Linked DNA regions of Arabidopsis thaliana. The protein of the gene in region 2 purifies or fractionates together with the protein of the main gene of each other region. This does not show direct contact. Each region holds a gene or a part of one and is shown on either strand. Other genes may lie near its edges.

What was found.
Region 1: the proteins of NPQ4 (region 2) and PSAG fractionate together in Arabidopsis thaliana (co-fractionation; one large-scale study listed by BioGRID). This does not show direct contact.

The regions. Positions count from the first base shown.
Region 1 is NC_003070.9:20,801,204-20,806,153, reverse strand, and holds PSAG (photosystem I subunit G), read left to right. Parts: upstream 1-2,704; 5' UTR 2,705-2,772; coding exon of another isoform or gene 2,773-2,797; coding exon 2,798-3,280; 3' UTR 3,281-3,484; downstream 3,485-4,950. Other genes in the region: AT1G55680 (Transducin/WD40 repeat-like superfamily protein), read left to right, coding at 1-19, 126-217, 299-404, 593-679, 753-1,166; AT1G55675 (uncharacterized protein), read left to right, coding at 1,974-2,300; AT1G55673 (uncharacterized protein), read right to left, coding at 2,773-3,183; AT1G55660 (FBD, F-box and Leucine Rich Repeat domains containing protein), read right to left, coding at 3,814-4,101, 4,183-4,323, 4,411-4,950. UniProt on the Arabidopsis thaliana protein: Not yet known.
Region 2 is NC_003070.9:16,868,314-16,875,722, reverse strand, and holds NPQ4 (Chlorophyll A-B binding family protein), read right to left. Parts: upstream 5,503-7,409; 5' UTR 5,449-5,502; intron 4,213-5,448; exon of another isoform or gene 4,105-4,212; 5' UTR 3,956-4,104; coding exon 3,764-3,955; intron 3,680-3,763; coding exon 3,566-3,679; intron 3,487-3,565; coding exon 3,243-3,486; coding exon of another isoform or gene 3,175-3,242; exon of another isoform or gene 2,777-3,174; coding exon 2,529-2,776; 3' UTR 2,299-2,528; downstream 1-2,298. Other genes in the region: AT1G44608 (uncharacterized protein), read left to right, coding at 227-474. UniProt on the Arabidopsis thaliana protein: Plays an important role in non-photochemical quenching (NPQ), a process maintains the balance between dissipation and utilization of light energy to minimize generation of oxidizing molecules, thereby protecting the plant against photo-oxidative damage; acts upstream of DLDG1.

The DNA.
Region 1 (4,950 bases), 3.9 Mb from region 2:
AGGAGAACTTATATGCAAGGTAAGCTCTAGAGTTTTACAATCATGGATTTTTAGTTTTTCACACAACAATTACATGCATTCTAATCAAGGAACTTCATCTTTTTCCACATTGATTTTATTTTCAGCATCTTGATAGACCTGGTGTGAGCTTTTGTTCACGTACTACTTATGATGATAATGCTATAACCAATGCTATTGAGATTTATAACAAACCCAGGTATTTGCATGTCTTTTGCTTGAGGTTGTATTTGCCAACTTGTCTCTTCTAACTGATTTTTTGATGTCTGTCTGTCTGCAGTGGGGCACTTCATTTTACTGCGTCGAATAATGATTGTGGAGTCAGAGATTTTGATATGGAGAGATACCAGCTTGTTAACCAGTTTCGCTTTCCATGGCCGGTGAATGTAAGTCCCTACTTTTTCCTTGATTTTTTTTTTGTTTTTGTTTTGGTATAAGTTGATCTGTAGTGCTTGTAGCAGTAAGTTTCAGTTACAAATACGTTTTGTAATCTGATATCTTCTTTTACATTACGAAATTGTAAATGTAATTGCACCCCAAATTATTTAACGAAAGGGGGTTTTTGTATTGATAGCACACATCTTTAAGTCCTGATGGTAAATTGTTGACGATTGTGGGAGACAACCCTGAAAGCCTTCTGGTAGACCCCAACACTGGAAAGGTACAGAAACGATCTCTGTGTTACGTATCCCTGAATAAATATGCTTTCTAACTAAATTTGGAATTTTCTACAGACACTGGCAACGCTATCAGGACATCTGGACTTTTCCTTTGCATCAGCATGGCACCCAGATGGATTCACGTTCTCCACAGGTAACCAGGACAAGACCTGCCGGGTTTGGGACATTCGTAACCTGTCAAAATCTGTTGCTGTCTTGAGGGGTAACCTTGGAGCAATCCGATCCATTCGCTACACATCTGATGGGAAGTACATGGCCATGGCTGAGCCGGCTGACTTTGTCCATGTGTATGATGTCTCAAACGGGTATGAAACGGAGCAAGAGATCGACTTCTTTGGGGAGATCTCGGGAATATCATTTAGCCCCGACACAGAAGCACTCTTCATAGGCGTTTGGGACCGCACTTACGGAAGTCTAATTGAGTATAGCCGGCGCCACAACTACTCCTACCTTGATTCATTTCTATGATCACCCGACATACCAGAGGAATAAAAGAGCCGATACATATGTGCTGCTGCACTCTCCTGTCGCTCTGTTAAACTAAGAAACCCGAGAAAAGAGAAAACATAAACTCAAGTCGATCTCTAATGGTGTAAATGATGTGTTGTGCAAGTACTAGTAGGAATGTTGTCACAGAGAGCGGATTTAGTTAGTTAATGTTCATTTCTTGTATGAGTGTTGGAGTTCGTGTATTGTACATAAGTATATGAGGTTCGGGTGAGTTTGCATCAAGTCTCAACTCTTGGCAAAGAGACAACTTTACTCGAGTCTGTGGCTCGTTATTTGGCTATGGTCACTTGTAGAGGAACTCAATTTGAGATGTTTCTGCCGATTGTTGGATCAAATTATATATCATGATGTTTCATAATATTTCTGTTTCCTAGACTATTAAAGTGTATCAATGGTAAGTTTCTCTCTCTCTTCTCTCTTTAATATCTTTTAGAGAAAGCTAAACTTTCCGATCAAACCTTTGCCTTCTGGTTTGATTCGAAGGCTCATGTTCCTCACATAGTGGGCTCGTGTCTGGCATCTCTGACTACTTTAGCGGAGTTGGCTAGCTTTCTTCTGACAGCGATGGCTTCCTTAGCGTCGTCTTGGTCGGCACCACTCCGGAAGCAGTAGCTTACATAGTATCGTCTTGACCGGATTTCGGGTTTGTCTCCGCCGTTGTTATGTTTTTCTTCCAGTTGTTTATTTACTTACAATAAATTTTATTAGGGATGTGTTGATAATATCGATTGAAGCGAATTATCGCTTAATGAAGTGTATTATTCGATGCTTTTACTTTTGAGTTTGCAATTACAGGAATTGATTCATAGCTTTTCAATGAATTATGGACTCTTATTGGCTTTGATCAATTTTTGTAAAATCTGTGCCGCTGTGTTTTTGGAATTCGGGAATCAATTGTCTTTTGGAAGATCCTTTCTTTGCAAATTTGATGATGATGTTTGTTGGGATTCTCTAATTAAAAACCGATGGACTTCTGTGTTTAAAGTTCTAGCTGTTTCCGGTGGCTTTGGAGTTTTCCGGTTGTTGCTGAACAGATCGGCGATGAACGGTGACGAAGAATCATCTATCCACGTCTTCAACTTTATTTGTTAGCATTCCACGTGGCTTTGCAGTCGGGAATTATTTAGCTTACTTCCTTAAAGGATTATGTTTCTCGATTGGGCTTTTCTCGTTGGGCCTATGGTTATAAGTTTGTTGGTTTTAGTTTCATATGTATCAAGACCTGTAATATTGAGTTTTTACAACACAAGTTATAAATAAAATACAAACACTTTATGAGAAAAAAGACTATTAAAGTGTAGATTATGGACTAAATCTTTTAAAAAAAAGATAGTAGGTTCTTCAAAGTGTATCCTACTAAATTACAAGGGTTTGAACGCAAATATTTCTTTGAAAATCTCATAATCCAGAAAGAACCAACGAGAGAATGCCACATCATCCATCCGTAATCGTATCCTCACAAACAAAATCTTCTTCTGCTTCTTCTCCTGCTTGCCAGAATCCAAAACCAAACCTTCAGATCATAAATCCAAAACCACTCATTTTTCTATTACTGAAATTTTTCTTAGAGAAGAAGAAGAAGAAGCAAAATGGCCACAAGCGCATCAGCTTTGCTCTCACCAACCACATTCTCCACTGCAATCTCCCACAAAAACCCTAACTCCATCTCATTCCATGGCCTTCGTCCCCTCCGTCTAGGTGGCTCCTCCTCCGCCCTACCCAAACTATCAACCACCGGGAGAAAATCCTCCTCCGCTGTCGTGAGAGCTGAGCTAAGCCCTTCCATCGTCATAAGTCTCAGCACAGGTCTCTCCCTCTTCCTCGGCCGTTTCGTCTTCTTCAACTTCCAGAGAGAGAACGTAGCAAAACAGGGCTTACCGGAGCAGAACGGAAAAACCCATTTCGAAGCTGGAGATGATCGTGCTAAGGAGTACGTCAGTCTCTTGAAATCGAACGATCCAATTGGATTCAACATTGTTGATGTTCTTGCTTGGGGTTCTATTGGACACATCGTTGCTTACTACATCTTGGCTACTTCCAGCAATGGATACGACCCAAGCTTCTTTGGATGATTCGTTTCAATGTCAATCTCTCGTATATGTATATGTATATGTTTGACTTGTGTTGCAAGCTATCTAATCTGTTCTCTATCTCTGTTTCTTCTTCTGTTGTTGTTGTTGTTGTCTAAGACTTGTCCCTCTTTTTGCAAATGTTTTATTTCTCCATTTACAAAGATTGGTTTGCAGAGTTTTATAAGAAGAACATAATAGTATATACACTATGGAAACAGAGAGATGAAATCACATTTTTACTTGCGCTCAAGATTTCGATTTAGTTTGAGCTAATGTTCGTATGAAAAACTTAGGTGATTTGGTGAAGCTAGTTTCATACCTAAGAGAGAGTCTAGATGTAAGATCTCAGAAAGATAAAGCCAATGTCTCAACAAAAACAGTATGCTCAAAGATAAAGTATACAAAAAGAAAACCAAAAACAAAGACATAAACCTTAAGTTTAGATCAAGTTACGGCTGCAAATAAAAAACCATTGTAATAAAGGAGGGTAGTGTCTATGGAAATGAAAGTTTGAATCCTTATGATTCACATCCTCAATGGAAGAAGACTTGGCATGTTTCTGGACCTTGAAAAGAAAGTGACAACTCCTCGATCATCTCATCTCTTGTTTCTTGAGCATATGTTGTCGGAAAAAAGATTGTCGCAGACTTTAAGCAGCGAGCATTTTTCAAGATATATTTAGCTACATCCATCTGGTTCTGCAGCAATCCATGCATCTCACTCCAACGGAACGTTTCGAGACTGGACAACAAACATGTAGGAACACAATTCAGCTGATTGTCCCACTGATTTGGTAGATCCGTACGCCCATTTGGATGATCCTGTGATCAAACATGAGAAGTTTGGCTTAAACATTATAGTTAATTGAACCAAGAGTATAGGTCTCTAAGGAACAAACTTACTTCTATCACGTAAGCCTCGAGCTCTCGTAAATTGGGAGAGCTTTTGAGTAATCGGGCAAGTAAAATTGACCAATCTGAATCACATGAACATATCTTCAATTGTTCAAGCTGGTTGAAGACAAGACCCTCATGATATAAAGACTGCATAAGATGACAAAAGATTCAACTTCAAGAAAACCTGGTTTATTGTTCAACAATGAGATGGATAGAGTGATGGAAACAGATTACCTCTTCGGTGTAGACTCCCAAGCATAACGAAAGACGCTTAACAGATGTGATTGATCCAAAGAACTTTTTGATATTTTGGAATGTCAATACAAAATCTGCCTCCTCCAACTTAGGCATATCTTCAAAATCGTAGAAGTATCGAGGACTATCACTGTCACTCTCATCATCACTATCACTCTCTAGCCTTTCATCAATGACTTTCAAATACTTCAAAGAAGGAGAATTCATCTTAAGCCCATCAAGATGACAAGGACGAGACATCTTTAGGGTTAGTCTCTGCAAGGACTTGACAATCACACTCAATTTCCCCAAATTGTCAATTTTATCTCGTTCCATAACTAGATCCTCAAGAACAGGGCAGTTGGAAAGAAGTCGGTGAAGAGAATTTGCATCCGAGTAAGTCACACGTCCAAGGAACAATGTTTTCAGGGAGGGGAGACATACCTTACGAGGAACATCAACGAGAATCTCGTCTTTCAGTTTCAAGATCACAATCGATTTGCATTTACATAAGCTTTTGGGCAATTTAGTTGGAAGCTC
Region 2 (7,409 bases):
AATAAATAATATATTTTTTGTTTATTAAATAAATAATATTTTAATTTAACTTTTCAAATATTTTCACTTTATAATTTTGTTTACCTATTTGCGGATTCTTAGGTTAAGAAAAAATATTAAATCTAACTAAAAGAGTAAATATTTCAATAATAATTACCAAATTTAAAACGTCCATAAAGATCAACGGTACAAGGTGGCTCTATTAATTTATTTTATATATCTATAGATTCATTCATTTCGATCAACTTCGAAGACAACCGAGCAACTTCATGGGAGAAAGGAAAAGAAACGCAATATCAACATGTCCACACGAAGAAGGAGTTTGTTCCTCAGTCCACACCACTTCCTCCTCTACTGTCGTGGAGAAAACGGATTCGTAGACTCTTACACGTCATCAGTTTCAAAAGCCGGTCTAGAGCATGTCACTTGTCCGCCAAGGTTAAAAGTGAAGATGACTTGAGTAGAAGTTGGTGAAGGCCTTTGTCCCCCACTTAACAGAAACTCTAAGATTAATAACTTCTCAAAATTTACAATAATTTTTTTGTTATAGGTATTCTTCTTGTTCTTTTTCTCTTACATAATTTATACTTAATTATTTGCAACTCTAAGATGAAATCAATATTCGATTCACAACGAAAAAACATTAACCAAACAACAACCTATGTCGTTATTCATTGCAAAACCGATCTACAGAAAGATTAACAATGATCAACGATTAATCATAAGTTATAACTTAATCAATCATTGCCGCTTTTCAAAATGTCAAAAAAAAATTGTATTAAAACAGACAAAAGAAAACTAAAAGAAAGAAACTAAAAGCTTTTCTAAAAGGACATGTAATACATTTGTTTATGGGATTAAAAGGCCCAAGTAATAGAAAAAAAACAATTTTTTTTATCAAGCCTTCTTAATTAATTTTTGAAAAAGCAAAAGTTTATTTAGAAGGCGCATGTAAGAGAACCTCGTTTGCTTAGAGATAGCCGTTGAAATGGCTTGAAAACTCCTCCGTCGCACCACACAAGCGAATCAAGAGAAAGACTTGTCTTATTGGACATTATTTGGAGAGAAAGATTTAAATCTTGGAGACCAAGTACTTTGGTGTATGAAAGTATGTCTATGAAGTCAAGTCCGTGAACTCGAAAGAAAAATTATCTAGATCTTGATATATTGGGATCAATTACGAATAAAGCACTTTCAAGTGTATGTCGTTGTCGAAATAGGCACAAAATCGTGTGTTGATCAAATTTAAGCGCTTTTCCACATGAGCTATTCTATTCTATAATGGAGTATTTGATATGGTAACAGTCGATTTTTGTTGATCAAATTTAAGCGCTTTTCCAGTAGAAATCTTGTAATCTCATCTTCAAAAGAGATCATGGAGAAAATCACCGGAGGAGAAGACATTGAAGACGGCGAAGGAGATGATAATGACGTGGGGTTAGAAGTTTAAACATATTTATTTTTGTTAGAAAGAGCTTTCTATTTTTTGAGTTACGTTTCACATTTTGGGTTTTAAGTTTTTTTTTTCTTTATATAAAATTTTATTTTAAGATTTGATTTGGTTTGATGAAGGAATGATTTTGGAGATTCTTTTGAAAACATGTTTAAGGGTTGGGTACAGGTAAACATAAATTTTAGATGTTTTTGGCTTCTTTTTTATTGGGAAGTTTGATTATGAATTTTACCATTATGAGGAGTATTTGGAACGCTCATGATTTTTAGATCAATTGTTTCGTAAGTTCGATTTTTGGACTGTCCGAAATAGGACAGAGTTGCTGGATTTGCATGGGATACTTTTCTTTTCGTCAACATCGAAGACGTCCTCTAGAATAGAAATTAATATTTACTCTTGCAGTGTATGCTTTAGATCCCGGCTCAATTCATTATGAGACCTATGGCAAAACTCAAAATAAAATAAAATCTCTTAGTAAATGTTTTTTTTTGGAAAAATTGGGGCCTTTTAGTCTTAACAATTTTTTTGAAATTGATTAGTAACCTTGGGCATTTGCCTACCTTGCCACCCCCAGAGACGGCCTGTACGAGCCAGGTACACCAGACGAATGGAGAAAATCACTCTAGGGGAGACGCTACCTTCACTTTTGCAAACTATCTTGTGAAGGTACGCGCGGCCATAAACACTTGCCATTATGTTCTGATTTTTGGGGAACCACTAGAGCAAAAACAACGGCTCCTTCATGATTTACCAAATTAATTTTATAATCTAGATTTTGGAATCAAATAAGTTCCTAACATGTACTTTAACATATTAGTTTTAAATTCTGTTTGATTTATCAAAAAAAAAAACTATGATGAAGCTGTTCTAATTCCACAGTTTTTTTCTGTTAAGAGATGCTAGATGATATCAATCACCTAGTCACTTAGGTGTAATAAAACTATATATAATCAGAAAATTCCAAGTTAAAAACAAAAGGATATAAGTATTACAACAATTTAAGCTGTCCATTTCCTTTTGTCTCAACATGAAGAGAAGGTCACACACTCTCTACTAAATTTAAGTACATGATAATTTAGCTTTCTTCACCATCATCGGTGATGAATTTTCCATTACCAGGATTAATGGCAGCGAAGAAGAAGAAAGCAACGTTTAAGAGGACAAGTGGTTCGATATCTTGAATTGGTATACCGGTCTCAATGTTGAGTTGAGCTAATGCTCCTTTCCCGGTAATAATCTCTCCTATCAGTGAAAATGCTATTCCCAACTGTGCCAATCTTCCTACGAATAACTCGTTCGCCTTCGTGAACCCAAACAATGGACCTTCACACAACAAAACAACAAACATATTCAAATTTATTCAAAACATTAGACCAAGCAACTCTTTAAGTAATCTCATATTTGTATCTTTTTTTCTTTTCAGAAACACTATTTTATTTAAGTTAACGGGAAGAGACTCTCTGCTAGAGAAAGCCATTCAGGAACCAATGTGCTTACATGGGGGAAAAAGATAGAAATTGATAACGATAAATAATCTATCAGGCCAACGATAAATAAATAAACATTTAGAGATTATTTTTGGAGATTGACAGTTCCATGCTAGTATCTTTTGTCTCACATTTGTATCTTAGGATAACGATAAATAAACATAAAGCCGATCCGGACACTACACTTAGGCCAATTCAGTTATACTAGTTACTATAGTACTCTATCAGGTTATATTATTTGCATTGGTTGTTCAGAGCAATGTCATTGTAACAAAGATAGAAATAGAAATGTTGAGAGATACCTTGTTCTTTGAGACCGAGGGCAGATCGGACGTTTTTGCCGGGAGGAATGACGGCTTTCTCGAGCCCGGTGGGAGGATCGTCGACGAATTTTCCTCTGTCTCCGAGAGCTCCAATGGCTCCCAACAGAGTGAACAAGATGAAGAAGAGAAGCAATGGCTCTGCTTCGTAAATCGGTATCCCTGTCTCCAGATTCAGCTGAGCTAATATCCCTTTTCCCGTCAACGCCTCACCAAGCAACGATGCCTATGCATAGAAACACAGCTTTCATACTAAAGCTTCTTTCTTGGAAGATAAGTTAGTGTATTTCATAGAGGGGACTTACAGCGAAACCGATCATAGCAACACGACCAACGAATAGCTCATTCGCCTTTGTGAAACCAATCCCACCAGACGTTCCAAAGATGCCATCCTCAACCTTGCTCTTCGGCTTCTCAACCTAAAATGTATATGAAAATCTTAACATTACCATCAAACACACAAGAAATGTTCCTTGTGGGACAAGTAAAGAGTATGTGAAAACCTTTTTAGGAGCAGCTTTGGTTTTGGGTTTGAAGAGAGCGAGAGGAACGAATGATTGTCTCCTAGATGGTAGTGCAACCGGAGAGTTTCCAGAGAGGAAGAGATGGTGAACTTTGGGCTGAGCCAAAGGGCTCTTGTTCCTCAAAAAATGGCCGGCGGTGACGCCTGAAGTAAGCAGCATGGTTTGAGCCATTCTTTCTGAGGATGAGAGAAGGATCAGTGATGTGTTTTGTGTTGTGTTGTGGAAGTGAAGAGATTAAAAGATATAAGGGAAATCTATTGATGGGCTTAAAGTGCGTCCACGTCTCCCAATTGTCCTTTCCATACTCTCTATGTGGTGAACTGGAGATAACGTTTTTGTGGAGAAAAATAAATCTATCAATATAATAGTTTTTAAAAAATTTAGATACACTTTTTAAAAGTTATACTTATTTAGACAGTAAACAAAAAAACAAAATAAATGTCATATTCAAAGAACCATTTATGACGAACTAATAACTCCTTCTAATAAAAATATAAAATATTTCTTTCAAGAAAATCATATTTTGGAACTAAAATCCAATTTATGTATTGATGTAAATGAATTGTGTCTGGTCAAAACTAAAGAAACATACTCATAGAAGATTCACGTCAAAAGGGTATGTTATACTAGCAAAGTACATACTAATGGAACTGGTACATTAGATATTACAAAAACGAAATGGCTTAATTTTTTTTATAATATGTATATAAATAAGAACACCTATATTGAAAAAATTCACATCAATTACATATTTTGTAAAAAATATTATATTTGAAAAATATCTAATTCTTTTTTAATATAGCCAGAGCCGGGCACAAACACAAGCGGGCTAAACCCAAACTTACGGTCGCAAATAGTATAAAAACAATTTTGGCTTCATATTTTCGTATTTGTTAGGTAGTCTAGTGGTAAAGACTGGTCCGAAAGAATCTTCGACACTTAGGTTCAAATCTTTAGTTTTTTCGGTTTTGTTAAGGGCTGATTGGTTCTCCCTCTACCACCCATAAACGCAGCGTTTGCGGTTGGTAGCGGTTATTAGCGATTGGAACCAATCATAGAAACCGCTAGATATCGCTTTGGACCGCTCAAAATTGCCAATTTTCAAAAGCTCCTTCCCGCAAGCGTTTGCGGTTGCGGGCGGTAGCGGTTAGATTAAAAATAAAAAAATAATCTATTTTTAGTTAATTAAAATAATTGTGGTTTCCACCCAAACCCTAATCACTATAATTAAAATAATCTAATCTTTTATATATCTTATTTTTATTAGAAAACCCTAATCAATATATTGTAACTCTATTCTCTCAATTATGGCATCCGATGAAAATCAAAATCAAGAATCAAACATAAGTATCATCTATCATTTTATTCACTCATTAGCTAGTGTAATTCTTTGACTATTTCATGGCATCATTGTTTTTATTTTATTTTGTATTCTTTTGAGTTTTTTGATTGAATACATGTTTCGATTTGTTTTCTCGATTAGAAAATGTTTTAGTCGGACGAGATGATATATTGTATTTTTATTTGGTCAGAAAATCAATTTTTCTAATATATTATATTTTTATTTCTTTTAATAGTAATATATTATATTTATTTTGGTTATTTTTTATTTAATTACTATCGCACCGGCTGGTTTATCAGTCATAAAACTCCCGCAAACGCACCTATTATCAAACGCTCAACCAGTCGTTCAAAATGCTTGATAACGCTTAAAACCGTGATCGCCCGTTTCCGCAAACTCCCGTAACCGCAACCGCACCCGCTTATAACCTTAAAATAGTTAGGGACGGTAAAAACTTGAATCGAGTAAAAAACATTTGAAACTACAAATACTCGCACAACACTCAGAAAGGAATAATTTTTGGTGTTTAATTAGTTTTCTCGATGAGAGACGTGTTTGAACTTTGGACACGAACACCTCATCTCACATCATGACAAGCGGGTTTAGGCATATTTGTTTTCTTTCTATGAGTCTCATTAAAGTTATAATTTAAACACAAAACATTGTCTTCTACTAAAAAGTTCATTATTTTGTAATTTAAATTGTATCAATTGAACAATCATCATATATATTCAAAATGGACATATAATATTTAAATATCATAAACTTTCATTTTAATTTTAATTATATGTACATACATTAAACCCCTATTTTGAAAACAATTTCACATCAATCACACCTTCTTCTTTTTTTGGGCAACTCACATCAATATACCTTTTAAAAAAAAATATTACATAAAATCCCTAATAGTTTGAGAAAACCTGATTGACTCGATTCGAGTCAAAAATATGTGCGACTTATAAATTGCTCGCAACACTCCGAAAGAGTATATTTGTAGTAACAAGTAAGTGGTGTTTAATTAATTGTCTCCATGTAAGACGTGTTTGAACACGAACTGCTCATTTCACGTTATTACAAAACAAGTGGGCTTAGGCATATACTTTGGGAACAAACCTAATAAGTAAAATAACAATAATGTGACATGTATTTTTGGATGTTTTTACATTTTATTTAATCAATTAGAAAATAGTATTTTTCTCTTTAACATGTTATAGTTTTATGTTGGCGTGTATCTGTTAATGAACTTTCAGATTAATGATTTTCGAGTATAGATTTTATTAATTTCGCTAGGACGCTATGTGATAATTTATACATTATCATAGCAAATAGCCAAATAACATGGTACACATAACATAATATGTCACAAAGAAATACAGTTAACTTACTAGGAAACACATATATTTCTATCTACTGCCGTTTCATTTATCAGAAACGTGGGGACGGAGACATCGGGTAAACATCCTCAAGATATTTCAAAATCTAGAGAACAACTAGCTGTTGATCGAGGACAGACTGGTCCGGCATTTCACCAATTTTTATGATGCATTTGTATTGGGTTTCAAATTTTTGAATCGCATTTTGTTAAGATTTTTGTAAAAAACAATAGACCCCAAAATAAGGGAAAAACCGACGCATAGATCAAATCTTTAAGTTCAAGTTCGATTCTAATCCATAAGGCTCTATAACTTAGCGTTTGCATAGTTATAACACAATATTCATTTGTGAGTTAGGTTCAAGCAATTATACGAAATTATGCTAAGTATAAAATACCTAAGATCATGTATTAGGTGGTGTGCGAGACATACATGCATTAAGATCAAACTCAACTAGAAAGAATAGTATAAACGATCAAACAAAATCATAGAAACTGCCAACCTAAACCAGATTTAACATCCCCATGAATCCCTTTTGAAACTCCCTCAAACCCAACTAGTGATCTACTAGCTCATGGCAAAAGAGCGAATTAAAAGTTGGGTTGAGTAAACCATAAGAAAAAGAAGAATAAGTCTTAAAAAGGGTTTAGAGATTACTTTTTTGAATGTAAAATACAAGAGGCAAAGCTCCACCTTAGAGAATCTTATACAAAATGAGAGAGAGAGAGAGAGAGAGAGAGAGAGAGAGAGAGAGAGAGAGAGAGAGAGAGAGAGAGAGAGAGAGAGAGAGAGAGAGAGAGAGAGAGAGAGAGTTGGTGTTCTTCGAGCTTGAAGGTGCGGTGGCGAGTTAGCAGCTCTCGGTGTCGGCGGCAGCTAGGGTTTGCTTGTTGTGAAGACGCACCTACGGTTC